Lonchura striata: one gene and its partners. The protein of the gene in region 4 interacts with the protein of the main gene of each other region in a biochemical or structural test. Links are inferred from orthologs where the notes say so. Each region holds a gene or a part of one and is shown on either strand. Other genes may lie near its edges. The genes, in order: NR2F1, GTF2E1, GTF2F2 and GTF2B.

The links.
Region 1: the proteins of GTF2B (region 4) and NR2F1 form a complex in vitro, tested with the Homo sapiens proteins (2 studies listed by BioGRID and IntAct). The link is inferred for Lonchura striata from reciprocal best matches to the Homo sapiens genes GTF2B and NR2F1.
Region 2: the proteins of GTF2B (region 4) and GTF2E1 form a complex in vitro, tested with the Homo sapiens proteins (2 studies listed by BioGRID). The link is inferred for Lonchura striata from reciprocal best matches to the Homo sapiens genes GTF2B and GTF2E1.
Region 3: the proteins of GTF2B (region 4) and GTF2F2 form a complex in vitro, tested with the Homo sapiens proteins (2 studies listed by BioGRID and IntAct). The link is inferred for Lonchura striata from reciprocal best matches to the Homo sapiens genes GTF2B and GTF2F2.

Annotation. Positions count from the first base shown.
Region 1 is NC_134642.1:68,473,281-68,480,403, reverse strand, and holds the start of NR2F1 (COUP transcription factor 1), read right to left. Parts: upstream 3,013-7,123; 5' UTR 2,944-3,012; coding exon 2,493-2,943; intron 2,293-2,492; exon of another isoform or gene 309-2,292; coding exon of another isoform or gene 296-308; intron 1-295. UniProt on the Homo sapiens protein: Coup (chicken ovalbumin upstream promoter) transcription factor binds to the ovalbumin promoter and, in conjunction with another protein (S300-II) stimulates initiation of transcription. Binds to both direct repeats and palindromes of the 5'-AGGTCA-3' motif.
Region 2 is NC_134604.1:27,752,161-27,760,005, reverse strand, and holds the start of GTF2E1 (general transcription factor IIE subunit 1), read right to left. Parts: upstream 3,018-7,845; 5' UTR 2,931-3,017; intron 1-2,930. Other genes in the region: RABL3 (rab-like protein 3), read left to right, coding at 3,246-3,291, 3,471-3,562, 5,184-5,313.
Region 3 is NC_134604.1:60,919,857-60,927,838, reverse strand, and holds the start of GTF2F2 (general transcription factor IIF subunit 2), read right to left. Parts: upstream 3,015-7,982; 5' UTR 2,926-3,014; coding exon 2,860-2,925; intron 1-2,859. UniProt on the Homo sapiens protein: TFIIF is a general transcription initiation factor that binds to RNA polymerase II and helps to recruit it to the initiation complex in collaboration with TFIIB.
Region 4 is NC_134611.1:19,524,409-19,531,254, forward strand, and holds the start of GTF2B (transcription initiation factor IIB), read right to left. Parts: upstream 3,015-6,846; 5' UTR 2,944-3,014; coding exon 2,927-2,943; intron 505-2,926; coding exon 398-504; intron 1-397. UniProt on the Homo sapiens protein: General transcription factor that plays a role in transcription initiation by RNA polymerase II (Pol II). Involved in the pre-initiation complex (PIC) formation and Pol II recruitment at promoter DNA.

The DNA of each region.
Region 1 (7,123 bases), on a different chromosome or scaffold from region 4:
ATACCGCTGAAATGCACAAGTAAATTGATGTATCCCTTTTTAAAATGAAATATTAAATAAAATAATTCATAAAACCAAATGCGTCCATATTCTTCAAAAAATACCTCGACGTTACCCTTCAAGCTGGAACAGGTCGCAGCGTTCCAGCTCCCCACTGCTAACTTTATCACACAGAACCAGCTTTCCATCGAGACCCCCCTCCCCCGCCCAGCAAAGTTTTCCCTGCTAAAAGGAAGAGAAAGGTTAAATATTATCAAGGGAAAGGGGGAAATAAAATAAAAATGTCCGAACTTACAATAGCCAAACATTCGTGGGAAAAAAAAGGGGACGGTGTAATTAATATCTTTGGTGAGCTGTTGCCACTGCAAAAGCCTGCAGTCAGCGTTGCACAGTGAATGCACAAGCTTGCAACTGCAAAAACACTGGATTCATTAACCATCTCCACACAGAGCGTAAGCATGCCTCGAGTCCCGAAAGCTGACCAAAGTTGGTTTTTTTTTTTTTTTTTTTTTTTTTTTTTTTTTTTTTTTTTCTTTAGTGTGTGCGTGTGTTTTATTCCTTCAGTGCCAGCGTTTGCAACCGCTTGCCATGTAAACAAATGTAACTTCAGGGGAAGATACGGCTACTCAGGCTTGTACCCTGCACACACAGACACCCCGCACAACCGCACACGTTTGCAGGCACACACCCGCACATGCAATCACTCATGTTTCCGGCGCGCCACATTTTTCTCAACTTTCTCTTTTCTTCCCCGACGAGCCCTCCTCCCACCCGGGCCAGATCTCTGTCCTGCTGCCCTTCAGCCTACCTCTCCCTCTTCAATCTACTTGTAAACTTGGCAGATATTTTTCATTTAACTGCATGCATAATTCTCACTTTTTTTTTTAATTTTTTCTCCTTCCTTTAAAAAAAAATTTGCTTGCCTCCACTCTCCTAGGTGCCTACCAACAGCCCCTGCAACTACCAATGAAGCCATCATATTTGTGAGCTCTTTCAGATCTGGAGCAGCCTAATTCAAATTCTTTTTCCGTGGCATATAAAATACAGTTTTAAAATCCCTGCTCTGCAAAATCACCTATTTTGCTGACGTGACATCTTTAGAACATCTTTAACGACAGTCACAGGGTAAACTTTAAACCGAGAGAACATGTTTCAAGGAGAAAGGAGGGCAGCAATTCTCCCTACACGAGGATGAGTCTGAACGCAAGGAAAACCACAGACAACTTTTGGAAAGAAGGAGAAAAAAAATCAGCAGAGCGCTTGGAAATAGTGGGGACCCCGTGCCAGATGCAGGCTGCGGATGCTGCTAAAATGAGAAGAACCGGTAAAGAGGTTATAAATCGAGATTTGTATGAAGACTTTAAGGAGAGGGTGGAGTTTGATGCAGAAATAAAATGAGCAGCGCACTTAAAAAAAAAAAAAAATGACAGAAGTACAGAAACACGGTTCAGTCACAAACTTTCCTTTGAATGCATGGAATGAAAACAAGGCCAAATCTCTCACAGAAGCACACTCCTGGGCACCGGGAAGCACATGGAAGCGAAGACAGAGTAGCACATTTCCTCCCCTTTTCTTTTTTTTTTTTTTTTTCCCTTTTCTCCCTTCTATCTTTTTCACACCCTTTCCTCTTTCTTTAATTACAAGTCTTTCATCTTTCTTTCGGGTAAAATGAGCCTGAGAGATGAATCTCAAATACCGAGAGGTATTGCAGGTTTAAAAAGAAATGATGGGGTGGAAAGGGGGTGGGGAGGGGGTGAGGGGGAAGGAAGCTGAATGGAGTCACATCTCGTACGGGAGAAAGATGTATCTCCCCCCACCCTCCGGTCTCATGCCAACAATAGACAAAACCACATCTAAAACACGCACACGCACACACGCATACACGCGCGAGCAGGGGGAAGTGGGGATAGCGGCTAAATGATAAATATTTAGCAAGCGATTGTAATAATAGTAGTAATAATAATAATAATAATAAATTCTCTGCACAATTATCAGGAAAGGGGAGAGTGTGGCAGTGCTGTAGAAGGGGGTGGGGAGGAGCGGGAGGGAGGGCAGGAGGCACACACCGAAAAGCAAAAGAAAACACCACCAACCACCATCGACAATAACAACAGAACCTGGTGCAAAGCTGCCAGATGGAGTGCAGGCAGAGGAAGAGATTGACATGTGCATGGAAATATATAGAGAGTCCTGGCTGGATTGCTACGGAGAGCTGTAAATATATATATATATATATATATATATATATATGCACATATATATATATGTGTGTGTGTATTTATTTTTACATATTTATATTTATATGTGTGTGTGTTTGCACGCCGCGCGTGTGCGCGCGCGCGTGTGTGTATAGCTATATGTATATGCATATAGGTGCGCGTGTGTGCGCGTACGGACAGGCAGACACAGACAGACGGAGAGCCCTCGCACACGCACGCCTGCACAGCCAAGGGGAGAGGGGAGCGATAGCATAGTAGTGAAGAAATATTCACCTTCCCGCCTCATGCCCACTTTGAGGCACTTCTTGAGGCGGCAGTACTGGCACTGGTTGCGGTGGTGCTGGTCGATGGGACAGTTCCTGTTGGCGCGGCATGTGTAAGTTAAGTTCCTGCGGACGCTCCTCTTGAAGAAACTTTTGCAGCCCTCGCAGGTGAACTGGCCGTAGTGCTTGCCGCTGGACTTGTCTCCGCACACCACGCATTCGATGTGCTGCTGGCTCTGCCCCGAGCCCTGCTGGCCCGCTCCCTTGTCTCCGGCCGTGCCCGGCGTGGAGGGGGGTCCCGGCTGGCTGGGGGTCTGCGGGGTGTGTGGGGTGGCCGAACTCCCCTGCTGCTGGGGCTGCTGCTCCCGGGCCGGCTGCGTCGCGGCCGGGTTGGGGCCGCTCGGAGTGCCCCCGGCCACGTCTTCCTGCGGATCTCGCCAGCTGCTAACTACCATTGCCATATCTCGGGCCCAAAAAAGTGCTGGGGAGCGGCGCGTCTCGCTGCGGGCTGCCGGGGAGTGAGGCGGGGGGCGGGGGGGTGGCGGCCGCCCGGGCGCCGGGGGCGAGCGGAGAGCGAGGGGACCCTTGCTGCCGCCTGCCTCCGCCTCTGCTGCCTCCGCCGCTGCCCTGCTGCCGCCGCCGCTGCTGCCGGCTGGAGCCGCTCCTGCCGTTTTCTTTATTTTATTTATTTTTCGCCGCCGAGAGCCCCCCTCCTCTCGCTCGCGCTCTTGCTAATTTTTTTTTTAGAGAGGGGGAGGGGGCGACGGAGGATTTTCTCTTTCTCTCTTCCCCCCCCCTTTCCTTTCCTTTTCCTCCCTTCCTTTTCCTTTCCTTTCCTTCCCTGCCCTTTCCAGCGCTCCCCCCTCTTTAAAATACCCCCGCCTGACCGCTTCTCCCCTCTGCTCCCGCTCTCCCCGGCTCTCACTGCCTCTCCTCGCCCTCCCCCCCCCCCCCCCCCCCCCCGCCGCCACTTCAAGTTGCAAAATCAGAAACGGCAAACAAGGCTGTCGGGAGAGGCATTCAGGAGAGTAACACGCCGGACACGCACACGCAGGCAGACACGCGCGCAGATGCCCGGCACACGGCTCCCCACTCGCGCACACGCACACACGCACGGGCACAGGCACACGCGGTCCGGGCGCTACGAGCGCGGAGGATGTGCAGGCATAGAGGAAGCCGCGGCGCCGCCGAGGAGGAGGAGGAGGAAAAGGAGGAGGAGGTGGAGGAGGAGGAGGGGAAGGAAGAGGAGGAGGAGGAGGTCGCCGCTCGCCGCTCGTCGCCGCCGGGGCTCGGCCGCCGCCGCTCCCGCGGAGGCTGCTGCCGCTGTCGCTGCCGCCGGTGCCGGTGTGGGCTCTCGGGGAGGCGGGAGGTCGAGAGAGGAGCCGCTCGTCGGCGATCAGAGTATGGAGGTGTCCGGGGGCCAGGTCCAGGGCAGTGCGCCGTCAGCCATTCAGGGCGGTGGAGCCGGGGAGCTCGGCGGAGGCGGGCAGGGAGCTGAGGCAGTTTGATCTCCTGTCGCGGCGGCAGGGAAGGAGGAGGAGGAGGTTGCCGGTCGCTGCTCTTTCTCTCCCGAGCTGCTCTCTCTCGCTCTCTGTCTCTCTCGCTCGCTCGCGCTCTCTCTCGCCTTTTTTTTTTTTTTTTTTTTTTTTTTTTTTTTTTTTTTAAATCGCAGAAAAAAAATCGGATGTGACTAAATTCGCAGAGGAGACGAATTCACGGCGAAGTGTAAAAATAGAGAACGGGAATAATAACGACACTTGCAGGAAAAAGAGAGATCCAAAGTAGGTCGGTAAATAAATCCTCTTCTCTTTCTTGCCGTTTCGGTGTTCTTCTGTGAGAGCGCACGATACTGGTTGCGAGGAAAAAAAAAAAGGAAGAAAATCGGTGGAAATAGTCCCAAAAAGATTCTTTTTGTTTGTTTGTTTAGTTGCTTAAAAAAAATATTTCGTGTAAAAACTCATCACCCAGAAAAGAAGCCCACCCCCAAAATTAAAAAATAGGCAAGAATGGTTAAAATAATAACGGTATTAAGATGTGAACGCGTTCTCTCTCTCTCCGGACTTTCCCCCTCCCCCCTGTTTCTCTCTCTCTCTCCTTTCCCCCTTTTTTCTTTCTTTCTTTCCGAGTTTGTTTTTTTTTTTTTTTTTCAGTTTCACCTCTCTCCTCTTCTCCTGCAGGAATGAAGCGAAAGACACAAGGAGGAAGGGTGGAAAAAAGAAGAAAAGGAAGGAGAAGAGGGAGATGAAGGGGGGGCACACAACTAATAGAATATGCAAGAAAGAGAAGGGGGGGGAGAGAGGGAGAGAGGGGGAGAGAGGGAGAGAGAGGGAGAGAGAGAGACCCAAAAAATGAATGCGTTTAAACGGTGAGCCTAGCGAAGCAATGTTTCCGAAAGGGGGATCTGCGCGAATGTCTGTATATAGTGAACTTTGACACTACTATTGAAACTGACACGTTTCTATGGAGATAGCTGCCTTATATGGAGCTCGTGTCAAGGACCCAAGAGAAGGGCTGCTGGCAACTGATAATCAAAGGCGACTGACTGGTCAGAGCCCTGAACTGGGGGGAGAGAAATTGGGAGGCTAAGGTTAGCCAAGCCTCCTTCACTCCATTGGTTACCCCCCAGCTCCCACCCCCTCCGCGCTTTTCTCTTTCTTTCTTTCTTTCTTTCTTTCTTTCTTTCTTTCTTTCTTTCTTTCTTTCTTTCTTTCTTTCTTTCTTTCTTTCTTTCTTTCTTTCTTTCTTTCTTTCTTTCTTTCTTTCTTTCTTTCTTTCTTTCTTTCTTTCTTTCTTTCTTTCTTTCTTTCTTTCTTTCTTTCTTTCTTTCTTTCTTTCTTTCTTTCTTTCTTTCTTTCTTTCTCTTTCTCTCTTTCTCCCTCTCTTTCTCCCTCTCTTTCTCTCTTTCTTCTCTTTCTCTTTCTCTTTCTCTTTCTCTTTCTCTTTCTCTTTCTCTTTCTCTTTCTCTTTCTCTTTCTCTTTCTCTTTCTCTTTCTCTTCTCCTTCTCCTTCTCCTTCTCCTTCTCCTTCTCCTTCTCTTTCTCCTTCTCTTCTATCTCTTAATTTTTAAAAATTTAAATTAAAAAAACATTCTCTGCTACCTACTGAATGGGATGGGGAAGGGAGGGGAGAAGGGGAGGGGGGAGGAAGGGAGGGAGAGAGGAGATTCTTCTGACAAGCACAGTTTACACTGAGATCCCCCTGTGCTGCTATTTACTTTGAGACCTGAGTAGTATGGGTCATCTATGGCCCCTCTACTCCCCACCTCCCCACCCCATCACACAGAGGAGGATGCATTGCGAAAGGTAGAAAGGTGCATATAAAAGGACACGATATGGGCTCCCTGTGAAAAGTTAGTGTGGGTTGGGGTTTTTTTGTGTTTGTTTTTTTCTTTTTTTTTTTTTTTGGGGGGGGGAATTTTTTTTTGGTCTTTTTTTCCCCACTACAGATCTGAAATAGGGATTTGCCTTCCACTTTCCCGTTGCAAAAGCCACTCCAGGGTTTTTAATGATGAGAAGGAAACACGCGCGCTGCACGGAGGAGCAGGCACCCGTATATGCACACCCCTGCACACACACGCGCTCGAGTCCACACACGTATTCAAATCCCCATATGTTCCCATCCCACTTAGGGCTATTTTTGCAGCCTGTCCCTCGCCCCTCACCCCCTCATTCCTCACCTAACATGTCCACCTGCAACCCCGCAGGGTTCCACGCTTCTCGCGGGGGTTTCACCCCTACCCTTTAATTTTATTTTGGGAGTGTGTGAGCAGTCACAACAACCCCAAACGGTCCTGCACGCAATGTCCTTCGCTTCATCCCCTCCCCAGGGTCTCCTGCTCTCCCTACGCAGGCGGGTGAGGAGGATGCGCGGGGGGGTGGTGGGCTGTCGGTCCCTCTCCTGCCCCTCGGCTCCCCTCCGCGGCCCGGCGCGGCTCCGGCCCCGGCGAGCAGGAATCGCTGGCTCCGGCTGCCATCTAGTGGGCACGGAGCCGTCGGCCCGGGGGAGCCCGGGAAGCCATTCCGCGGCCTTCCACCCCATCCCCGATTTAACAAAAAATGCATTTCTGCTTTTTTAAAAACAATTGTTTTCAATAGAAAACTAAACTGCGGAGAAGACCTTCTTCTTTTCAATTTCTGTCTCTCTCACAAGCCAGCCTTATCGGCAGCTTCCCTTTTGTCAGCGATCTGAAATTTGCCTTGGGTTCGAAAGACTGAATGTGACAAAGAAGAAGCAGACTGTAAAAACTGAACAGCTTCTCCCCGCAATAAAAAATCCCACCAAAACTAACACCCCAAGCCCCTCTACTCACCACTATATTTTTCTCTTACCTCCCATTAAAGTTTATAATCAGATTAGAATCTGGATGGAAGACCTACAGAAGGAAAGTGAATTAAATAGGTGACAGAAGTTTTATTGTTACTATTTATTTTTGTAAAGTGATGTTGCTTTAATTAAAAGTAGAGAGAAAAAACCAAGCCCCTCAGATTTGATGTATAGTGATCATTATATTTTTTTTTCTTTCCCTGTCAACTCTGAAATCTAAGGCTGGGAGCCTCCTGAAGAAAAGATTCCTTCATCATTTCTAAGATCAGAATAAACGCTTGATTTTGTCCCGAAATAATGAAGAGATTTTCAATGAGG
Region 2 (7,845 bases), on a different chromosome or scaffold from region 4:
GTTAACACTTGCACAGGTGCTTCCTGTTTTTCCCCAAATTTATTTAATTAGCGTTCTTTTCCACTAAATCTTTGAAACCAGCTTTTGTTGATTTGCTTAGAAAATGCTTCTGCAAGCTTCTGACACACAATTTTTAAGAAAGGGGAAAAATATTACTTGCTTGCACCACTGACATAGTTTCTTCAGGTAAAATCAAAATCAGGTTGTAATAAGAGAATCCCCTCTCCTGTGAATGTAGCAGGTACAACAATATTCTGCTCCTGCTGTCACTTGCAAACACCAGATCCCAGCTTGTAGTCTCACACTCTAACTTGATTTAAAATTCTGCTTTTCAGAAGATGATGCGGTTAAGCTAAGAGAAGAAATCCTGAATCTTCCTGAGAACAGGAAGGAAAGGCATACATTTCAGAACTACAGTGGGAAAATATGTCATCAAGACTTTCAATATCTGTACAACGTAACCTCAGACACTATTCATTCTTTCCAGAAAAGGGCACAGAATCTTCCACTTTGGAGTTTTGTTTTTACTTGCATTTCTCTGTAGTGAGTCCATAATTGCTTTTATCCCACATCAATTTCAAAATAAAGCCTTCTGACATTTTATCAAGAGCTTACTGAGTTTGATTCCCTGGAGAGTTCACAAATGCTGCTGCTCAGCCTTCCTCCCGCACTACATCAGGATGAGAAATAAGTGTATTTTCATTGCAAGACCTGCCTTGAAGTATGAGGGCAGAAAAGAACAATCTCTGTCCACTGAAATCCCATCGTCTTGTTGGCTTTCCATAAACTGAAACCAGGAAGCCTCAGGTATCAAAGGGATTTATTCACTCAGCATGAGAAGTTGTGCTGCAGCTGAACACAGAAAGGCTGAGGGGCTTGGCTGAAATGAGGGCTTTTTCCCCTAATTTCACAAGTGAAAACACATGGAACCAGATGTAGTAAGGCCACAATGTTTAACCACACCAGGCAGAAACTGAACAATGCAGGCTCAGGATGTAATTCTCAATCACCTTTATAATCTTAACCCAGCATAAACAATTGCAAGGTGTCAGGAAATTAAAGGACCACCTGTGTGGTCCTTTAATGGATGAAATTTCCTGTTGCAGCTAAAGTCAAATTTCAACTTCCCTCCCCTAAGGAAGTCTTTCTTTTCCTTCCTTGCCTTTAGCCACAAGCCCCACCTTTCTGTCCTAATTCTGGCAATTCACTAATCCTGTAGCAACAAGAATCAATTGATAAAAAGCGAAAAACTGACATATCAAAATAAAAAGTGGGACATTTCAGAGAGAGCAAAGGGGAAAAGTTCAAGAATTTAATCATTTATGTTACCAGACTAGAGCCAACACAAAACAAAGAAAAGAATGCATAGCTAAGGATGTAGATAAGTGGGGAGCTTTCCCCACAGAGGCAAAACTGACCTAACTGTAATGTGAGGCCATTAGAAAATTTTAATTATGGATACCAGAACCTCTTACAATTTACACTCTGATCTGAACCTACCAGGAGAATATGTGTTATTTCAGAGACGTGTAAGCATCAGCCCTCACACAATGTAGTTGTAAGGTTTAGGGGGTTTCTTTAAAGGGAAGAAAGTAAGATCATTTCTGTCACATATCAAGCCTGGGAAGTCATGATTACACCAAGGCAAAGAGAGCTTAACCCAGCATTCCTTTCTACGTTTCTGACAGGAAAAAAAAAACACAATAATTGCTTTTTCACATTATGGATTCAATAAGACCTGTAATGCCACACTTTTCATCATGATAGATGATGTGAGCAATATTGCCTTTTGGAATTTCCAGAAAGACAACGAAAAATTATGGAATCATTGGGTTAAGTACAGTTTTAGTTAGGTGAGTACATACCCTGGATAAAAGCAATAAAGAAACAAAGAAACTAAGTAACAAGACACTAGATTAGCTTTAATTAACATAGTTTCTTGTTCAGAAGAATCCCATAAAGCATCCTGTGAGAAAGTGAGCTGTATGTGACAGGAAGTGGAAGGCAGGAATGCAATTCCCATCAAGCCTCACTCCGGCCTGAAAACATGTTCTCCTTCCCAGGCACATGGCTCTGCCCTCACACACCACCTAGTGCACCAAACTGATTGCTTAAAGGTAGGAAAATACTTTTTTCCCCCCTCCTTTTTGCTATGTTTTCCAAGTTAAGTGAGCTGGTGGTGAACTCTGATGAGCAAGAGAACCAGCACGTCCAGAGAGGATGCCACTGCAAAACTCCACCTTTTGTGGATGAAAAATATTAAGCTATCTAGACTTCAAGAAAATGCACCTTAGCTGTGCACGGCTAAACACCCTTTTCAGAATAATCATTCTGCTTTTTCATTGTGAGCTGCTTGGAATGGCACAAGCCTAATAGCTGGAGCCATTGAACAGCAGCTCGGTGCCACTATGAGATGTGATGTTGGCCTGCTACTCGGGGAACCAGCACGCTGCTGAGGCCAGAAGAAATATAATACACCAAAAAAAAAAAAAAAAAATCAAAAACAAAGCAGGAACGAGCTCACTTTGCCAGGCAGCTACTCCTGAGATGCCCGTCAGCCCGCATGTCCCTCCGAAGCACACAGGGCAGAGCTCCGGGCGTACAGCAGCACAGCGAGCTGCAACGCCAGCCTGAGGGGAGAATCCCTCCCCGTCTGCACCGCTTCCCACTCCCTACCCGCTTCCATGTGCTCAGCTTTAAACACCGAACTGTGTGGGATTCTGTAGGGCAGGAGGAGGTCAGCAGAACCTCCTTTTTAAAAAGGGAAAAAAAAATATATAGAAAACAAAGGAGCCTCAACAAACACCGCAGGAGGAACGGCAAACGGTGGGGAGGAGCCAAGGCGAGGAAGGGGCCCGGACGGGCACACCGTGCGCGGAGCAGGGGCCGCGGGCCGCAGGCAGCACCCCGCTCCCGGGGCCGGCACTGACCTGGCGCCGCTTCCAGCTCTCCCCGGCTCCGGGCGGCGCCGCCCGCCTCACCGCCACGCGCGCCGCCGCCCTCAGCGCCACCGCCAGCGGCGCGTGCGCCGCGCCGCCCCTCCCCGCCCGCGCCTGCCAAGCGAGCCAATCGCCTGCCCGCACAGAACCGCGCCTTCCCGCCCTCACCGGGGATCAACCAATCAGAAGTGACAACCGCGCCGGCCGCTCGAGCAGGCAGCCAATAGGTTGGGAGGAGCGGGAAGAACACGCGCCGCGATTGGCGGGCGCCCCCGTGGCCGGGCGTTGTTGCTAAGCAGGGTAAAGATGGCGGCTCTGGACAGGGTCAAGGTGCTGGTGCTGGGCGATTCCGGTGAGTCCGTGTCTCCAGGCCGGGTGGCCTGCGGCCGCTCCTCGGCCATCTGCTCCTCGCTTCCCTCCCCGTCACCCGCTGAGGAGCCGGGACCGCCGGGACTCAGTGCTGCTCCGGGCCTCGCCACCTGTAACCTTGGCACCGCCTCCCAGGAGTTGTTCTCTTCTGTGCACTTGCAGGTGTCGGGAAATCGTCGCTCGTCCATCTCTTGTGCCACAACCAGGTGTTGGGAAATCCGTCCTGGACAGTGGGCTGCTCCGTGGATGTGCGAGTAGGTGACGTGCACGGCCTCTTGGTGGCCCTGAGCCTGACGTGTAAAGGAAGGGCCTTGACTTTTTATTTTAATTACTTACCTCCCCAGAAAGAGGTGTACTTTGATCATGTGTTTTGCTGAAGGCTTAATCTTCTGATGCAAGTAGCGTCAAATGTGAGCCAAGCACTTGTGTAAGCGAGTTTTGACCTTCCAAGGTTGTCACAATCAGACAAGACATTTGACACTCTTTGCTCTGCTCCCTGCTGCAGTGCCCACTGGTGTGTTACAAGTCACAGGGTGGCCAGTTCCTTGAGAAACAGGCAAGGAACGGCCAAGTTGTCAGCCAAACACAGTGGGAGAAAACACTTTGCTTGTTTAGGTTGTGGGAGCACAGGAAAGCTCTAGGTCATGCTCATGTGTTAGAAAAACAAATTAAAATTTAGGGCCTGGCATGCTTCAGTGCTCTTAGGGCTGGGTGAGGAAATTGACAAGAGAAATTTACTGTTGAGACCTGGACACCAGGAATGCAGAATTTATAAACCACAAAGACAAGTTACAGAAAGCAGAGCTGAGGAAGAAACTAACAGACAATTAATAAGACTGTCCCCATCTGGGAAAAAGATAATAAAAAAGGCTGAAAAAGTAGGCTAGTTATCATGAGAAGTGAGAAATCAATAACCAATAGAAGATCAAATACTAATTAATGAAGAGAACTGCATTACTTGTAAGCCAGTGAGCACTAATTCCTTTGTTTGCCAAAATGTATCAAGAATTTTAATTTTTGGTGACTGATGTACACATTTGGTGAAGTGCTACTCATGTACCTCAGTGCTGAATAAAGTAGTGTTGATTTTCTAACCTAACTGGGTTAGAGAGTTTATTTCCTGGATTTTGGTGACAGTTGTGACCATGGAGTTGCTTCTCCTCCTGACTACTTGCTGCAGGACCTGCTGTGGGAAGAATGAGGATGTCCATCCAGCAGTTCTTTGGCCCAGCCTACAGCCCTCATGGGACATTGATAAATGCTCTTCTCCTTCATCACTCTTTGCTGCATTCTCCTTGAAATGCATTGCCCTAGGTTAGGAATGTATTTCCAAAATCTGAGGAGAGGAACGTGGCAGTCCTTTTTGACTCTGGAGCAAAACGACTCAGCAGATCTGGGGGCAGAAGTTGTTGATTAATTCAGTTGAGATGCCAGAGTTTGGGTAGGAAAAAGATGTGTTCAGTTGGCATCCAGGTCTGTCACCTGTGTTTATATTCTTGCAGTGCTGCCCTGTGGGTTTTAACAACTAAGAAGTCATGACCTTAATTTTTCCATTTGCTTTAGCAAAACACCGTGTCCAAGCACATCATGAGATGTTGGGTTTGTTAATACTGAGATGCAAAGGGTGCTCCCCGTTTACTCACCAGGCTCCCTCTCACATGAGATGGTGATCTCCATCTCTGTGGTGCCCAATGGCTGCTGCTTGGCTCATTCCATCTCTCTTCCACTCAAGAGGTTTGAAATAGTGTGTCAGCATGAGAATTTCCAAATTTCTATCCAAGTGCAATAATCCTTCCAGCTGGAAGTGTAAGTGCCATGTGGATTAACTCCTGTGACATGGTGCTGTGGTTATGTATAATGTGAATTTTTCATCAGATCCATGACTACAAAGAAGGAACCCCAGAAGAGAAGACCTATTACATTGAGTTGTGGGATGTTGGAGGTTCTGTGGGCAGTGCCACCAGTGTGAAGAGCACAAGAGCTGTGTTCTATAATTTGTTGAATGGTAAGTGTGCTTGGTGTAAATATGGTTTTTAATTCTGTTTCTGTTAGGAACTGTCCCTTGGTTCTGGGGCAGAGTTTCAGGCAGCCTGCCTGGGGGCTACATTGTTCTCCTTTCTGATTTATACAGGAACAAACCTGATACCATTCATAGGCAGAATTTTATGGATTCAGTTGTGAATGGCAGATATTTCAGGCAAACCTGGGCAGATGAGCTCTATCAGCCTCCCCCTTCAGTCTTATGCAGCTGGCACAGCAGGGAGGCTTTGAAGGTGCAGTGGTTACGTCCATCTTTCCGGGTCTCCTATACTGCAGAAATATTATTTATATTTTATAAAGATTTTTTTATGATTTATATTTTCTTATCTGTTCGGTTGTAAAACTTACAGCAGAAAAATTACTGTTCCAATTTTTATGACTTCAATAGTTACATCCTACCCTGGCAGATTTGAGCTGTGTCCCATAAAATTGCCATATGCTGATTACCATCTTGCCTCTGCTCATTTAGCTTACCAGCTTATTTTTAAGAGTTAAACCTTGCCACTTACTGCATATGTAAAAAGCAGTATTTTGTGCCTTCTGTTGAGATATTGTCTTAAATGCCTAGTAGTTAATTTGTGTCTCTAACAAGAGCAAGTAAGAGATTATAAACATAACAGTGCAGTATTTCAATTGTTACTTTTTGTCATCCCAGGACAGTTCACTAAAAATAGATGTGTATCAGACTAACACCAGCTTATGAAAATCTGGCTCAAATATTGTGTTTGATTCTCTTTGCTTATTCCCACTCATTTGAAGGTTTTTCAATAACATGTTAAGCCACACAATAAACATTTTTGGGCTATGATTAACTAGTTATTTCTTCCTCCTTTCTCAGGGGAAAACTATTAGTTACCTCTTGCTTATACTGTTAACCAGATCTCTGTGTATAAGACGAGTTGAGCTATGCCCTCAAAGCAAGCCTCTTTAGGATATGAAAAAAAAATTGATTTCTTTTTGATCCCAAATCTACAGTGTGCCAGGAAGTGTGGTTCAGACTTGGAAATACCTTAGAACAGCCCATTAAAAAATGAAATCTTGGACTCATGCATCTGAATTATAATTGATGACATTAAAATAGAGTTATTTATCTCCACTGCCCAAAAGATACTAATTAGACAGCTTGCATATGAAGAGTTGACTTTGGTAGTTAACCTTGGGTCTTGTTTCTTTCATTAGATTAATTTCTCCATTAGAGCTTGTCTCACAAATTGCCTCTGCTCGGCCTGATTTAAGAAGAGAAGATGAATACATTCCTTCTGCTTGACTGCTTGTGCTTTCTGGGCTTGCAGTGGTCTGAAAGCCAGTCAGTGTTTGGTTGTGGCAGCAGCTGTGCAGGCTGCCGGGTTGTTGACAGGGCTGGTACACTTTGGTTTTGGATTATCCACAGATCTTCTTCTTTGCTGAATCTCCAGCTGGTGTGGGGACTGTGATATCTGTGGACAGTGACTGGGCAGTAAGGCTTTGGCTTGCAGACCTTGTTGTGGGAGGAGCATTTCCCTGAGTAGTCATTGGTCCTGCCAGCTCTTTTTGGATGTTGACAGTCTTTTTCTGCTGGTGCAACTAACTGGGCAGGTTTTAGGTGAAGCAGATAAGGAAACTGACCAATCAGACATAACTGAGGGAGAGTGTGTGGAGGTGGGAAGTGTTTCTCACAGGTTGTGCAGCAGTGCCTCTGGATCTGTTGCTGTAGGCCAAGTTATGTTGTGTCAGGCATTTTCTCTCTATGCTGGGGGTGGACATGCAGCAGAGTTGCTTTTTTATACTGTTACTGAGATAAATGCTTGAAAATAGGGCTATAGCTGTGATATGCTGGGAACTCTCGTGGGAGAGCCTGTGCACAGTCATGTGGGATAGTGGAAAATATTTGTGGAAATGCAGTTTGTTCATGGCGTGTACAGTGGGTGGCACCTCTGGAAGTTACGGTGAAAGATAAATTACTGAGTTTTTTCCACCTGTGGGCTGTGAAGTGTTTTGAGAATGAATCCTGATGCAGATAAGGGATATAATTGCATTTTATCCTTGAATTGATGATAGTTTGAAGTCTGGAGGAAGTGGGAACATTCCACATATTGCAGAAGGTGTGAATAAATAGAAGAAATTTGCTAGCAGGAGTTGGTAATTGAGTTAGGAACTGTGGTTATCAGAAGTGGGTGTCTGTTAATAGCACAGCTAGGAAGCTTGACTCTGTCTCAGGATTTACATTTTGAAGGCTCATAGTAATGAAAAATGCTAGAAACTTAAGATTAAGTGCAGTAAGTCTTATTAATTCATGCTTTTACCAGCCATTTAGTGGAGTATGAAATTTTGCCAGTGTCTGTTTCCCCTTTGGATACCTCCCCAAATATATTTGCATTAAGTCTGGAAAATGTAGGAAGGCAGTAGTTCTCTCTGAACTCTTTTGAAACAAAGAAAAAGCCTTCAGACTTTATAGATGGTGTGATAAAAAATAATTATGTTTACCAGAAAAAGGCTAAAATTTTCTACTGCAGTAATA
Region 3 (7,982 bases), on a different chromosome or scaffold from region 4:
AGAGCAAGAAATTAACATTCTAATGGCTAACACTAAATGGGCTTCACTTTACCACAAGTACATAACCAAATACTACTACTATTTCTCCACTTTAGCTTTCACTGAAAACACAAAAATAAAAATCTAGTGGCTTTCTGGATTTGTACTAAAGCAACTCACTCTCTTTATAGTACCTCCTTTTACTGCTCATGCTTCTAAAATACTCATCACTACCTTTTTTTATTGCCCGTTAAGTAGCCTCTCTGGAATACTTCCTGTGCTAGCACAAAGCATGCTAAAAGGAAATCAAATAAGCCAGGTTTTTTATTCCATCAGAACTGAATGCTCTCTCCCTCAAAGGAAGGATAAATTCATCCTCATTGCCCTAGCTAGTGAAGATAAAAAGTACAGGTACTACACAGACACTACACTGTCTTGCCTCTGAGTTGGAAGTCCTACTAACAGATGTGGTTGTTTCCAAGTTCAAGTCCAAAGGAAATCAAAAGATAAAATCCTGCATACCCCATGTTATCATCTATCAGTGTTAGCATCTTTTAAGTATTTTTTACTATCATTACTAAAAAAGAAGACAGATGTAAGGTCAGAACACATGCATGAAGGACTACATCAACATTTACTCGGAAGAGTAATAGTCCAGCTTTCCTTTCAGTCCTGTTTTCTCATTAAACAGAGTGGCACCAGCTGTAAGAACAAATTTGCCTGAAAAGTCCTTGCTTCAGGAAACATCAAACTGTATCAGACTAAAGGACAAGCAAGTTCAGTGTCCTGTCCCCAAATGCAGCTAGTGGCAGTTACTTCAGGAGGAACATACGAAGAAAATTTATTTCCCCAGCATGCTCTTCTAATTTCTAGGGTGTTTTAGCAGACATGGGGTTTGTCAGCATATTACTTTTTAATCTCTGAAGTCAATTTTCTTGCCAGAATTTGATTGTGTTTGAGCTTCTGCAAAGTTTTGAAATTCAGAACTCCTAATTGCAAGAAGTTCCAAAATTTAAATGCACATTGTGCAAAACAATACCTCCTTTGCTCTTGCTGAGCCCCAGCAATTAATTAATCTGACACACCTCTAATTCTTGTGTCTGAACTGATTCTTTCCTGTTCACCTTTGCCTATTCACTTCTTCCTTATCCACCCATGACATTACTCATTCCTTCAGATCTCTGCAAGATTTCCAAATCAATCCTCTTGCCAGCCTAAAAGGTTGGTATTTAGGAGTTCCCTCCACAGCCATCATTCCTTGTTGCCAAGACAAGATCTGGTGATCTCCTTTTTACTGTTCCCGGGTCTGCACACTTTCTACAGTAGGGGGAATGAGACCATGGCTACGCAGAGCATTCTGGATAGAGGCAACATGATGGTACAAGAATATTTTCTCTTTTGTTTTCTGTGCTTTTTGTAATCATGTCCAATGTTGGCTCTGCTCATTTGACATATTCTTAGAGTTATCTCCATGTACAGAAAAAAACACTCCTCCTGAATTACAACAACCAGCAGAAACCCAACTGCTGCATACAAATAATTCTGATAGTTTTTCTCTAAGCACACCAGATTAGTTCTTTCAGATCTTAATTTCTTAATTTCATCTGCCATTTTATCATCCTGTCACTCAGAACGTCATGATCCAGTTCCGCAGGTTTCTGCTGCCACCAGGGAAAAGCTATTGCAGTTAGAGCACTTGCACAGTGCTCATTGGGGCTTTGTGATATCACACACTCAGCCATCAGAAGAGGAAGCCAACACAGCAACCTGCCCACCAAAAATTCTGCACAGCAAAGCAAGTCTGAAATCCCAACCGTTTTTAAGGGCCGCAGCAAGCAGTTTTAGTAGCTGAAGTGTGATGATGTTACACCCCCCTCACCACCCAGGACTAGTACCTGTCCCCACAGGTTCTTTCAAGTTGATGGTCTGAAACTATTCCTAAAGAACAAAGGGGATGAAGGAACTGTTTCTCCCAAGACAGAATAAATATAGGTCTAGAAAAAGAGGAGCACACCCAGAGGGGACACGAAGCAGGCAGGGCACATGCTCCCCCATCAGCTTCAAGTTCCCCTTTCTGAAACAATGCTTGGTATTGGCAGGAAAATGTCTTGACAGCAAAAACACTGACTCCAGGGAACAGAGCAATGCCAGCCTGTTAGTGGTGGCACCAGGCTGGACTGTGGCCCTGCACCAAACAGGTTTGATTTGACACCCTCGCTACCTTTTCACAGCCCCCCCACTACAGCTGTATTTCACTAGCACCAAAGGCAGCTGTAATGACAAGACACTGGCATCCTCTTTCCTTGCTGGATGTGGACAGTTTTAATCAGGACGTGAATCTGGGCACATTCAAAACATTGTCCAACTCTCAAAGTTTTGGAGAAATAAAAGTTACATGGCCACGTTTGTTGCTCATCGCAAACCACTAGCAAGGACAAGGAAAAGATGTTTTACTGTGAGGGTGGTGAGACATTGCACAGGTTGCCCAGAGAAGCCGTGGATGCCCCATCCCTAGAAATATTCAAAGCCAGGCCGGATAAGGCCTTCGGCAACCTGGTCTAGTCCTGGATGTCCCTGCCCACCGCAAGGGGGTTTGGGACTGAATGAACTGTAAGGCTCATTCCAATCCCTCAACATTCTGATTCTGTGATAGCTCCCGGCAGCCCTGCGGTGTCTCCTTTACTGATCGGGCACGGGGTCCAAGCCCGCGCTGTCCCCGGGAAGGGGAGCAGGCACAGCGGCTGTCCCGGGCCACCGGCCGAGCCTGGCGCGGCAGCCGCGGCCTCACGGCGCCAACCCGGGCACGGCGGGGCGGGACGAACGGAGGGACCCGGCTGCCACAGGCCGCGCTGGGCCGGGCCCGGGGCCGCGGCTCCTCACCTTCACCAGCCACATGCCCGTGTTCTGCTTGGCGCCGGTGAGGTCCAGCTCGCCCTTGTCGCTCATGGCGGGGCAGCGGCCGGGCCGGGCCGGGCGCCGGGCGAGACGAGCGCGGCAGCGGAGCGCACCCGGCACACGGCGGCCCGTGAGGGACAAACCTCCTCCGCCCGCACGGCGCGGCGGGGCGGGCCCCGCTGCGTCGGAGCCGCGGGTTCGGGTCCCCGCCCGGGCGGGGCCGTGGGAAGGGACGGGAATCCCCCGCAGAAAGTTCCTGTGTGACAGGATAGCCTAGGTTCGAAGGCACGTGTAAGGACCATCGCGTCCAACTCCCGGCCCTGCACAGGACGTGCCCGAGTGTCGCATTTGGACAGTGAGAGCACTGTCCAAATGCTCCTTGAGCGCTGTCAGGCTTGGTGCTGTGCCCACTCCCGTGGGGAGCCTGTTCCTGTGCCCAACAACCCTCTGGGTGCAGAACCTGTTCCTGATACCCAGCCTGAACCTCCCCTGACACAGCTTCAGGCCATTCCCTAGGTCCTGTCACTGGTTATGAGAGAGATCAGTGCCTGCCCCTCCTCTTCCCTTCCGAGGAAGCTGTAACTGCAGCGAGAGCTCCCCTCGGTCTCCTCCAATATAAAGAGACCAAGGAACCTCAGCTGCTCCTCATACAGCTTCTCCTCAAAGCCCTTCACCATCCTCATTGCCCTCCTTAGGACGCTCTCCAACAGCTTAATGTCTTTCTTACACTGCAGCACCCAAAACTGCACGCAGGTTTCGAGGTGAGGCAGCACCAGCGCAGAGCATAGCAGGAAGTTATTCCCTCCTGGTACCAGAATAGTTATCCCAGCATGCTGTAATGATCTAGAAGGACTGGAGGAGAAGCCTGGAGAGAGGAGGTACTACCATGATAGTGCCCTTCTGTTTAGGAGGGAAATGGTGGCTAGAGGACTAGCTTCTGTGAAAGGGAATCAGAGCATCATGGTGTGCTCAAAGGCCAAGAAAGTTAGAAAACACAGCTGGTGAATCACTTCCTGGGAATAAAAAGTAAAGATTTAAGCTTAGCTTTCCAGAAAGAGAACTCATGAGGAAGTGTTGGGCTAGGCTGTCCAAAGATAGGAGGGCATCTGAGACACTGAAAATGTCCTGTGTCAGGAAAGTGCCTGCCCATCCTAGGTTGAGGTGGGTGTATTTGGCTAAGAAAAACCCAAGTCCTTATTTTACAGTTGTCACTATCTCTGGGGAAGTTTTCCCCCTTTGCAGTTTAACTTTGTTATCTCCCTTCTATCCACTATAGGCACAAGAAAGACATGGACATGCTGGAGACACTGGCATGGGTTGCCCAGAGAAGTTGTGGATGCCCCATCCCTGGCAGTGTTCAAGGCCAGGTTTGCCAGGGCTCTGAGCAGCCTGGTCTAATGGAAGGTGTCCCTCTCCACTGCAGGGGGTTTGAACTAGATGATTTTTAAGGTCCTTTCCAATCCAAACTGCTCTATGATTCTATGGCATGGAAAGCATTTCATTAGCTTCCTCTCTTCTTTATTTTATCCTTTTACTGAGATGTAGCCCTTTGATTTACCTCCTCTCATACTAAATAACTTCCGTTTGTTCAGTTCAGTCTCATAGGTCTATTCTCTAGACCTCTGGCTATGTCCATTGCTCTCTGAATTGCCCCCAGTACAAGTTTACATCCTCTTTGAAGTCTGGTTGCTCAACGGTGAAGGTTATCTGAGTCTGTACCAGCAGCAAGCAGAGGGTATTTTCTGGTACAATATGCAGGAAATTGCTAATCTGGCTCATAAAAAATGATCTCAGTAGTATTATATCTCAGATATGAGAGTCTGCCTTTCTAATTATAGGCAATCATCTAGGTAACCAAGGAGGACAACATTTTTATATGTATCTGAAGCAATTATGGCTAACACTGAACTATTATATTGACTAGGGTAAGTCACATTTAAAATTAATTGCATTTTAAAATTGCTTTTGTTTTTACATTTGAACTGTGTTTTTCTGTAGAACTCAGCTTGGAGGGTGGATAAATCTTTTACTGTTAGTTAACTTCCACTGAAAATTCAGTTTTCTTTAAGACAACCTTACATAGGCCTACTAAGGGCTCCTCAAATGCTAATAAAAATGGAAGTGGGTGCATCTCAACAGTAGTTAGACCAGCCCCATTTTCTGGGACTGTGTCACCCCCAAATATTGTAGGTCTAAGACCCTTTGGTTTTGTTCATCTGGAAAAAGAGTGGATCTGGATCTACACAGACAAACACCATTGCTTTACAACCTGCTTTGGATCCTGCTCATAGGATCATAGAACAATTTGGGTTGAAAGGGAGCTTAAAGACCACCTAATTCCAAACGCCCTGCCCTGGGCAGGGACACTTGCCACTAGACCAGGTTGCTCAGGTCCATCCAGGTTCCATCCAACCTCGCTTTGAACACTTCTAGGCATAAGGCATCCACAATTTCTCTGGACAATTTGTTCCAATGTTTCACTAACCTCATTTGGAAACATTTCTTTCTGATGTCCAATCTAAACCCACCCTCTTTGAAACCATTGCACATTGTCCTTTCATTACAGGCTCCGAATAAAAAGTGTCTCTCTTTCTTGTGAGCCCCTTTAACATACTGAAAGGCTGCAAAAAGTTCTCCCTGGGGCTTCTGCTTTTCCAGGCTGAACATGCCCAAATCTCTCAGTCTGTCTTCATAGGAGAGGTGCTCCAGCCCTCTAACCATTTTAGTTCCTTTCCTCCAGACCTTATCCAACAGGTCAGTGTCTGCCTTGTGCTGGGAGCTCCAGGGCTAGATGCAGTACTCCAGGAGGGATCTCAAATGTTCCCCCGGGATAAACACTGAATTAACAACAAAACTGTCCCTCTACCACTGCTCCCAGCTCAGTCTGTGTACTCAGATCACATGCACCATCACATTTCAAAAGAAAAAAGCAATGGAATGGATGTCTCTAACAGGGGTGACATTTGCAGCAAAGCAGCATCATGGGGGCTCAGATGGGCCTGTGCTCCACCAGATGGAAGGAGAGGAGCTCCACTTGCAGAGAGCCCAGCAGCAGGTGGCAGGAGCATGGCTGACCACCTCAGGACTCCTTAGGGAGGGAATCCATGAGGAGTCATCACTCATATTCCATGTGTAAATGACGATAGCAAAAACCTCTGTAAAAGCCTGACAATCGAAGTGGCTCAGCTGGCAACCCAGAGGGGAAGGCGACCAGGCAGAGATCTTTCCTGGCTTCCTCCAGGCAGCCTTTCCATAGCTGTTTCCATGGAAACTGAATTTAAAGGGACAACAAGCAGGAAAAAGTACGCATTTTCATTAATTCCTCATTTAAAATCTCAACCTTGTGTTTACCAGGGACACATTTAGTGCCATGGAGGAGGACCCAGGGGCCAGCTGTTGAGCTGCAGAGCTGTGTGTTAGTCACCCATTTTCTTCTTGCTTGCATGGAAACAGATGTGTCTGAGAAGAGAGATGGCCAAATTGAGACTTACACAGCCTTTCATTTTTATTTTCCTCTTGTCCTATTAGGTGAGATGAAGAGTTGGCAGCATCATCAGCAGCCACACAGAATTTCTGTTCAAATGTTTTAGGAACAGGCTAATTGATGCAACCTGGTGGTAGTTGGTGAAAATCAGTGCAGCGGAAGATGCAAAAAGCCTGATGCTTCCCTGTTGAAGCTGATGGGAGTTTTGCATTTTGGAACCCATGTGCTTTCCTCAAAGCCCAGCAAGAACTAGGGAAGATGTGCTCCTGGGAGCCGGTGTTCCCACAGAGTATCAGCGATGGACACCATCAGAGAGGATTCCATGTGCTGGAGGAGATGAGTGCTGCCTTTATTCTGAATACCTGAATTTTCAGTCAGCAAAGACCTCATGGACTTATGAGGATGCCACAAAAACTCAAACTTAAATCTCAAAACTACCATTATTGTTTGAACTGCTTGAGTAAGAGGAGGGAAAACTTTTGCCATCTTCAACTGTAATGCATCATTCTCTCGTTTGTGGTGCAGTTGGTCTGTGTAAGCTGGAAAAAAAGAGAAGAAATAATCTGCAAAGACAAAAAGAACATCTGGGCAGATCATTATTATTTATTTTTAAATAAGAGAAAATAAATTCTGCGTAACTTACTCCAAAACAGGGTATGGTCTGCATACCTATTTCCTGAGGCAGCAAAGAATTTCCAGTGTGTCTTTTTAAGACAAAATATATGTTGGAGCTTTTGTGTTTTCAAACTGCTTTTGAGCAACATGTTAATAACAGACTTGTTTAGTCCAAGCTGTTCTGTGGCACAGAGTTGGAAAACATCAACCACAGGGCTGAGCTCCTATTTCAGTAAAATCCTAGGCAGTATGAAATCTTCAACATGGCATTTCTGCTGCAAAACACAACACAAAAAGGCAGTTCTGAAAAGATGGCAGCCTTCATTCATTCATTTATAATTTTTAATTCTTTCTATATATTTACAGCCATACATTTTTATCTATGCTATATATTGGAGAATACTTCGTTTTCACAGTAATGGTGCTGCGCCTCTGCTTGCAGTTCCAACCCATACCATGTCTTCCATCAGATTGACAGTGTGCAGTAAATTTGGCTGTAGGCAGCTTGTACTCTTGCTTATTAGGATTTTCACCATATCAAGGAAGGAGTGGGAGTGGGGGAAGAGAGAAAATTGAAAGACGCAACTGCAAATTATTTTTTTCAAAGGAAGAAAACACTTGTTAGAGAATTTCAGATACTTGGTTTGAACCTAATTTAAAATAATTTTTTTAATGACCATAAAATCGGCATTATCTTTTTAACTCAAGGTACTTTTTGTGCCTCTCAGGCATAAAAAAATATTATCTAGCCTTTTTCACCATTGTCTCTCAAGAAGGAGCTTTAAGCATGCAACATTTTCAACCTAGTAATAGTACAAAGGTAATGTGAGGTTTCATCAACTTGTTACTTTCTAAAGTGCCTTTTCATTGTAGGTATATAGAAAATGTTACATAGAACTGAGTTTAACCTGTTCTTCTGCACTCCTTGATATTTTTTCTGATCTTCTTCTCTAGTAATGTACTACCTCAGCACAAAAGGTCAGCAGCATCTATAGTCGCTCATCTCCTG
Region 4 (6,846 bases):
TATGTTGATTTTTTTCGTTATAAGCAAGTTATTTCACAGAGAGCTTTTGTAACATCTCTTATACTTTCCTGAATGAAAGAAGTCATGAATGAAGACAGAATATAGGACTAGACAGCACAATACTCTAACTCATATTATAGCACATTTTAAATTTTCAGTCTTTAAAGAGAGTTTGATTATTTTCATAGTGCAATAATTACCAGAAGACAGGCTATTCAGAGCAGTAAGCTTTTAGCAAACAGACAATCACAAAAGAACCTAAGCCCCACACAGAAAAGCAAAAACAAACAAACACTCCATCAAACCTACCACTCACACTTGGACATCAAGAGGGCAGAAACCTACACACACCATTTAGGTTACATGGCAATTTATAAAAATACTAATAATTACTTACCTACTACTAGCCCACACTCAGAACAAATCATATCACCAGCTCTGTAGTCCTCCACTAAAATGGAATCTGGATGATTTGGGCAAGTCACCCTCGGAAGTACATCCAAACTAAGAAACAAATGACAAGTATTCATTACTATTAAACAAGCAGACTGCATATCAAAAGCAAAAGAGTTCCTTGATGATAAGAAAACTTCAGTAATACAGCATTTAAGGATTTAAATTACAGAATATTAACTTGATTACCTGAGCTGCACTTTTTATTTGAATGCTGTAACACTACAATTGGCAATCAAGACTTTAGATCAACTTAAATTCCAATTTTCTTGTAATGTATCTTGTACCAAAATCACTTCAAATCAAGACATTAAAAATCTATGTAACAGACTTGACTAAATGCAGTATAACTCAAACTACTGCTAAATGCAGTTTCGTTTCCCAAGTTAGTGGCAATTTCCTCATTCCAAATGAGCATTTTCACTCCATCTACTAAGAACAATATTATTTACCAGGTTCTTAACTCGGGAAGTAGTGCACATACAACATGTATGCTTGCAAAACTCCCAATTCAAACACTGGTTTATTTTAAAGTATTTGAACAATAAATTCCATTTTAAATTAAGCAATTAATAGCAAAATATTAAAAAATAATCAGGTCCTAAGGCAATTATATGACAAGAAGTTCTGAAAACAGGGATCTCTTTCACACCCATGGATCTTTAACAATTACAGCTTCCCATAAAGCATTAGCATTACTTAATGCAATAGCTTTTAGTTACTGACTAAAGTAACAGCCAATTGCTTCTAACCAAACGTTTTAAAAGTAAATGCTTCATATTAACAACTGTTACATAGTTCTACTAAAACCAATTATTTAAAAATTGTAATAAAAAGTGTTTACAATTGGGATCCATGTATTTCACAAAGCCATTTTGCTCAAAGTTAAAAGCACAAGAGTACAGAAGTTTGATCTCAAACAATTTATCATGACTATTAACTTCCATCTCATTAAACCAAAAAACAATTTTTAATCCATTCAATTGTAAAAAATTTCCCAATAGAATTACTCTGAGTTACCCATTTGCCACTGCTATTTTTGCCATTAATTCAGCCTAACCTATACTTCCCATCTTAATTTTCATTTTTTAGATATTTCTGATGAGTCTAGAATACAAAAAACCCAAACATTTTAATCCACTGACTGTTCACAAAAATGTCTGCAACCTGAAACCAAAACTGAAAATCAACGTAACTATTAATATTAAAACCTCCAGAAAGCACTTGTCAACACAAGATCTTCAGATGTAAATTATGTTCAAAACAGTACATGAAAGCTCTTTAAACTACTTTCCTTCTATTCCCAGCCACAAGTTTCATATGACAACACTGTTGACAAAGCATTCACAATCATCTGACATTTGGCATTACATAAAAGGCAGTGACACACCAAGCAAAAGGAAAAAAGAAATCCAGACACCCCAAAGAATACTAACCATGTTTTGTTTCACACTTTACCTTCGTAAAACATTGCAGAAATTAGTCTTCCCATCCTAATTTAACTCGGTTTATCTACCTACACATATATATTGTATCCCCTGCAATGGGTTCAATTTGCTAAGCCACCTACACGCAAGGAAAATGCATGTCACGTGTGTAAAGGCCCATCTCAGCAAATAACTCCCGAGACGCAGCAAGATTACTCGGAAGCACTTCCTAGATCCCAGGACAGGTTTAGCAGGAGTTACAGAGTCATTCCAGTCTGCTCCGTGGGTCTTTCTGACTAGAAAGAAAAACTCGGCACGTCTCCAGGAGGCAAGAATTCAGAACCCGAAACCCCTCTGGTCACCGACTAGTGGCGGTACGGATTTAGGGTGCGAGCCTAAAAGCAGCTTCCAGGCCCCGATAAGGTGGAGTCAGGCCAGGGAGCCGCTCGGCTCACGGCTCGCCGAGCAGTGGGCACGGGGCCGCAGCAGTCGGTGCCGGCCGAGGGACGCGGCGAGACGAGCCCGGCACCACCTCAGGCCCGCACGGCACGGCCCGGCCAAACCAGCCGCGCTCGGGGGACACACCGGCCCGAGTCGCCGTCCGCACCGAGCTGCGGCTGACAAGGAGCCCGGCGCTCAGGTCATAAATCCCCCAAAAACCTCGGCATCTCCTCCGAGCGCTGCCCACCAGCAGCGACACAAAGATGCGAAGGTGGCGAGCTCGGCCCTCAGAGGCCGCTCAGCCGGGGACCGCCCGGCCCGGCCCACACCAACAGGCGCGGGCGCCCTGAGGCCCGACCGCCCGCCGCCCTGAGGAACGGCCCCGACAGACAGAACACCGCAGAGGGGCCGGCGCACCGTGCACTGCGAGAGCCGCGCTGAAACGGCAGCCCCGGGGCCGGGCAAGAGCGGCGATGGCCGCCGGTCAGTCCCCAGGCGGTGGCGGGGGCGCCGCACCCATCCTCTGTGTGTGCCGCGGAAGGGAGCGATGTCGGAGCAGCTCCCTCTCCTCCCTCGGGCCCCCCGCGCCCAGACCGCGCCCGTACCGGCTGGTGGACGCCATGTCGGCGGTGCTGCACCGGCGCCGGAGATCGCGCGGCCGGACGGCCCCTGTGATTAAATCCCGAGAGCGGCGGGCGGGGCCGCCGGGCGCTCCTACGGGTGCCGCGAGGGGGCGGGCGCACGCGCGGTGCCGGGCGGGGCCGTGCGGCTGCGGGCCCGCAGGACGCGGCCCGGGACCTTCCCCTCGGCCCGGGACCTTCCCTTCGGCCCGGGCAGCAGCCCACAGACCCCCGCACAAAGCCCACCGTGCCGGCCCCGGGGCGTGGCTCCGGCTCAGCTGCTCCTGTGCACGCTCCGGCAGTTCCGTGAATTCCCACGGAAGACAAGCGTGAGCAGAGCTGCCCCAAGTTTGCGCAGAAGTACATGGGCTACAACACGTTCTCGGCTCTGGAACTAAGCGGAGACCAATTCCCAGAAAGGGGAAGTTTAATTTCTCCTTCCTGCTGTCGCCTGCACAGCTGCTGCGGTTTGGCAGTGGGCTGAGGAACGGCGAGGAGAACCGGGCGCTTCTCGGGCAGGGCCCGCCGGTGCCGGGCCGGCCGTGACTCGGACGGCCGCGGCGAACGCGCCGCGCTCACGCCTCGGGCTCACTGAAGCAAACACAAAGCCCCCCGCTGGTGTCCGGGGGCTTCCCTTGTCCCGCCGCACACCTGCATGGTGGGATCAGCTCCCCTTCTGTCTCTCCTCCTCGCATCCAGCTTGGCAGAGAGTATCAGGCCTAAGAGGAGGAGAAACTACAAAAACTGGTCTTTGCAAGACCAAAACCCTTCAGCACTGCACTAGAGTCCTGGTTTTCACTGCCCAAGAGTTTATCTGCATGCGAAATTGGCCTGTAGAATGTGCAGCAACAACTGTTTTTCAAGGCCAATATATAAAACAGTGGAACGTAAATTTATTCCTTTAGAATGAGCCTCCCTGCACTGAAAGAGAAGGATAAATGGGACAGGAAGGCCTATAAATTTTGTAAAGTGCCATTAATGCTTTAAAGTGATCAGTATTGAAGTCTCTCAACAGTTATAAATTTGCTATCTATTTATTAATCAGATACACAGGACTTTTCACACCTATGGAGCTCATGTCTCCACAATATAACAAGAATATTTTTCAATTTACTAGCTTAAAGGAAGAAATCCCCTGTGGTTGAAAAGATCTCTAATACTTATAAAACTGAGTCAAAATAATTATCACACAACCTCCAAACACTTCTCTACCAACTGCAGTTCTATTTGCTGGTTGAAAATGGGCAGGTTTAAACTTGACAGCAAATTCCTTAGGCTAAAATAAATAGAAACCTTTTGGAATATAAGAAAGCTGAACTATTAGAAAATAGAAATGCTGAGATACAAACTTAAAACTTTTTTTCCACTTGCAATAATATTTTTCAGAAATGCTCAGTAAAACCAAAAGATGAAAGAGTAATGAAAAACAAGTCACTGTAACTGTTGGTGTGAATATAGCACATGATATAAGGTTTTTCCATAACCTCTGAAATATGTATGGCGCAATGACTGCAGTAGATGTGCCTCATCACCACAATGTGTCCCTTCAAGCTTTCCAGGTTTGTCTTGGTTTCTTCTGCATTCTGTTCTACAAAAAAGATGTTCTGCTGGCAACCATTGCCAAGCCTCTAAGCCTATTCTCATTAACTTAGAATTGAAAGCATTTCATTTTCACCATAGAAGGACAGTGATTTTCAGATATATTGCAAAACTACAATAGATATATAATGGTTCTTTTATTCCTTGTCTGCAGCAATTTTTCAAGTAGCAGACAAAAAACGTAGTTATGTGGCAGATGGAAGTACCATTAATATGCTCTGTCAACAGATCATTTTAATAATATACAAAGTTTACCTTGCTGTCCCCAGCTGTTCTTTCCCATCACTGTAGTCACAACAATAATCCTATTTTAAAACTTGCTTCAATGGTCATTCTGGAGCTTCTCAAAATTTCACACCAAGTTTCTCATGCTGGTTACTGTCAGTAATAAAAGTATTTAATTAAACTGCAATTTTTGCATTACCAGGATCATTTCAACAATAATGCAGTGGGATATTCAGACTATTTTGCAAACACAATGAACAGTACATTAATGAAAACAAATCACTGGCTCTTATTTGTATGTCTAAAGGATCTTTGTAATGGTTTGTTGATTTATCATGTAGTTCAATAGCCTGTTGCAATCTCAGTTCTTGCAACATCACGGCTCTCCCAGTGCAACTTGTATAAACAGATTGTAAACTTCTTGTAAAAGAGAGTATAGGTTTCACACAAATTTGGTGTCTAAAAAGTAGTTTATCTTAGAATTTAATATAGGAATTTTTAAATTAAATTAATTCTGAAATTTCAGCTAAGTAAATCTAATTACTGAATTGATTTTTCTACACAAAGACTACACACCACTTTCAAAATACCAGCCAACAATCTTCTGGTGAGATCTGGGGAATGGCTATGCAAGACAGCTACAAAGACTGTGGAACTCCCAGCTACTGGAGTCCCAAAAACCCAAGACTAAGAAGTATTAACGAAAATATCTAGCAGCTCTTCTCTCAGGCCACTTTCTATACCTTTTTTTAGGTCCTGGCCATGATTACAGTCTCATGGAACTCAGTTAAGAGTCCAGCTGTGTGATCACAGAATAAGTAAAATGCTGGCAAAACAAGTTAGTGAATTTGTTCAGGCTTTGCACCCATAAGAGCTGTGTCATTGTTTAAGCCCAGCTGTTCACTCACCCACCACCCCAGACTGGTGAAATGGGGAGAAGAATCAAAAGTAAAACCTGTAGTTTGAGATAAAAACAGTTTAATAATTGAAACAAAGTTAAAAAGAACAACAATAGTAATTAATAATTATAATAATAACAAAAAGAATTTTGAAAAAGGAAAAATGAGTAAGGCACAATGCAGTTGCTTACCAGCCCCTGACTGATGGCAGACCCCATTGCTGAGGCCCCGTTCAGCTCCCCCTTGCCAAAAGCTCCCCAGCTGATGTACTGGCCATGACATTCCATGGTGTGAGTATCCATTGGCCAGTTTGGGTCACTTGTCCAGCTACGTTCCCTCACAGCTTTTTTAGTTTTTTTTGTTCCTCCTCACTAGCAGAGCAGGAGACACAAAAAAGTCTTTGATTTAGGATAAATGCAACTTAGCAACAACCAAAACATCAGTGTGTTATCAACCTTATTCCCATGCTGAATCTGAAACACAGCACTGTACCAGGTACTGAGAATAAAATTAATTCTATCCCATCTGAAACCAGGACAGCCTGTGAGAAGAACATAGAAAGACCATGGAGGACATAGCACACAGCCTTAAAAAGTCACCTGCCTGGATTGCTTCTGATAGTGGGAAACACATCCACAGATGAAAAGATTGCAGAAAGAAGTGAAAAAGGAGGTAGCTAGAAAGGAATTCTTCATACTGACTTCTTTTGAAATAAGTCCTTTATCTACTGTGCTTGAAACCAAGGTAGTTGAGCTCCATAGAACAGCATTGGCAGCATTAGGCTAATAGCATTAGACCTCCATGGCCCCCTAGATCTAAAGAGTTTGAAGTTTGGTGTGATACTGCCAATGTTGTAATATAAAGGAAACATAATGACACAAATAATTACATCACTGTACATCTGATTGTAAAGGAGCCTCTAAAGTAAATTTTGCTTTGTACATTCATCCATGTAATAAATACAAGGTAGCCAGAGGTAAATAGAATGCCTATTCCAGATGCCACTTTTATAATTGTATTGAGGACTGAATACTTTCAGAACACCATACATGACTATTGTGGTGAATAAAATAGTAATTATGTAACTTAGCACTTTTCACTTTATTTAACTGATACAATTTCTGCAGCCAGAGAAGGTAGCAGGTATGAAGAGAGTCACTGCAATTATCTAATATGGGCCAT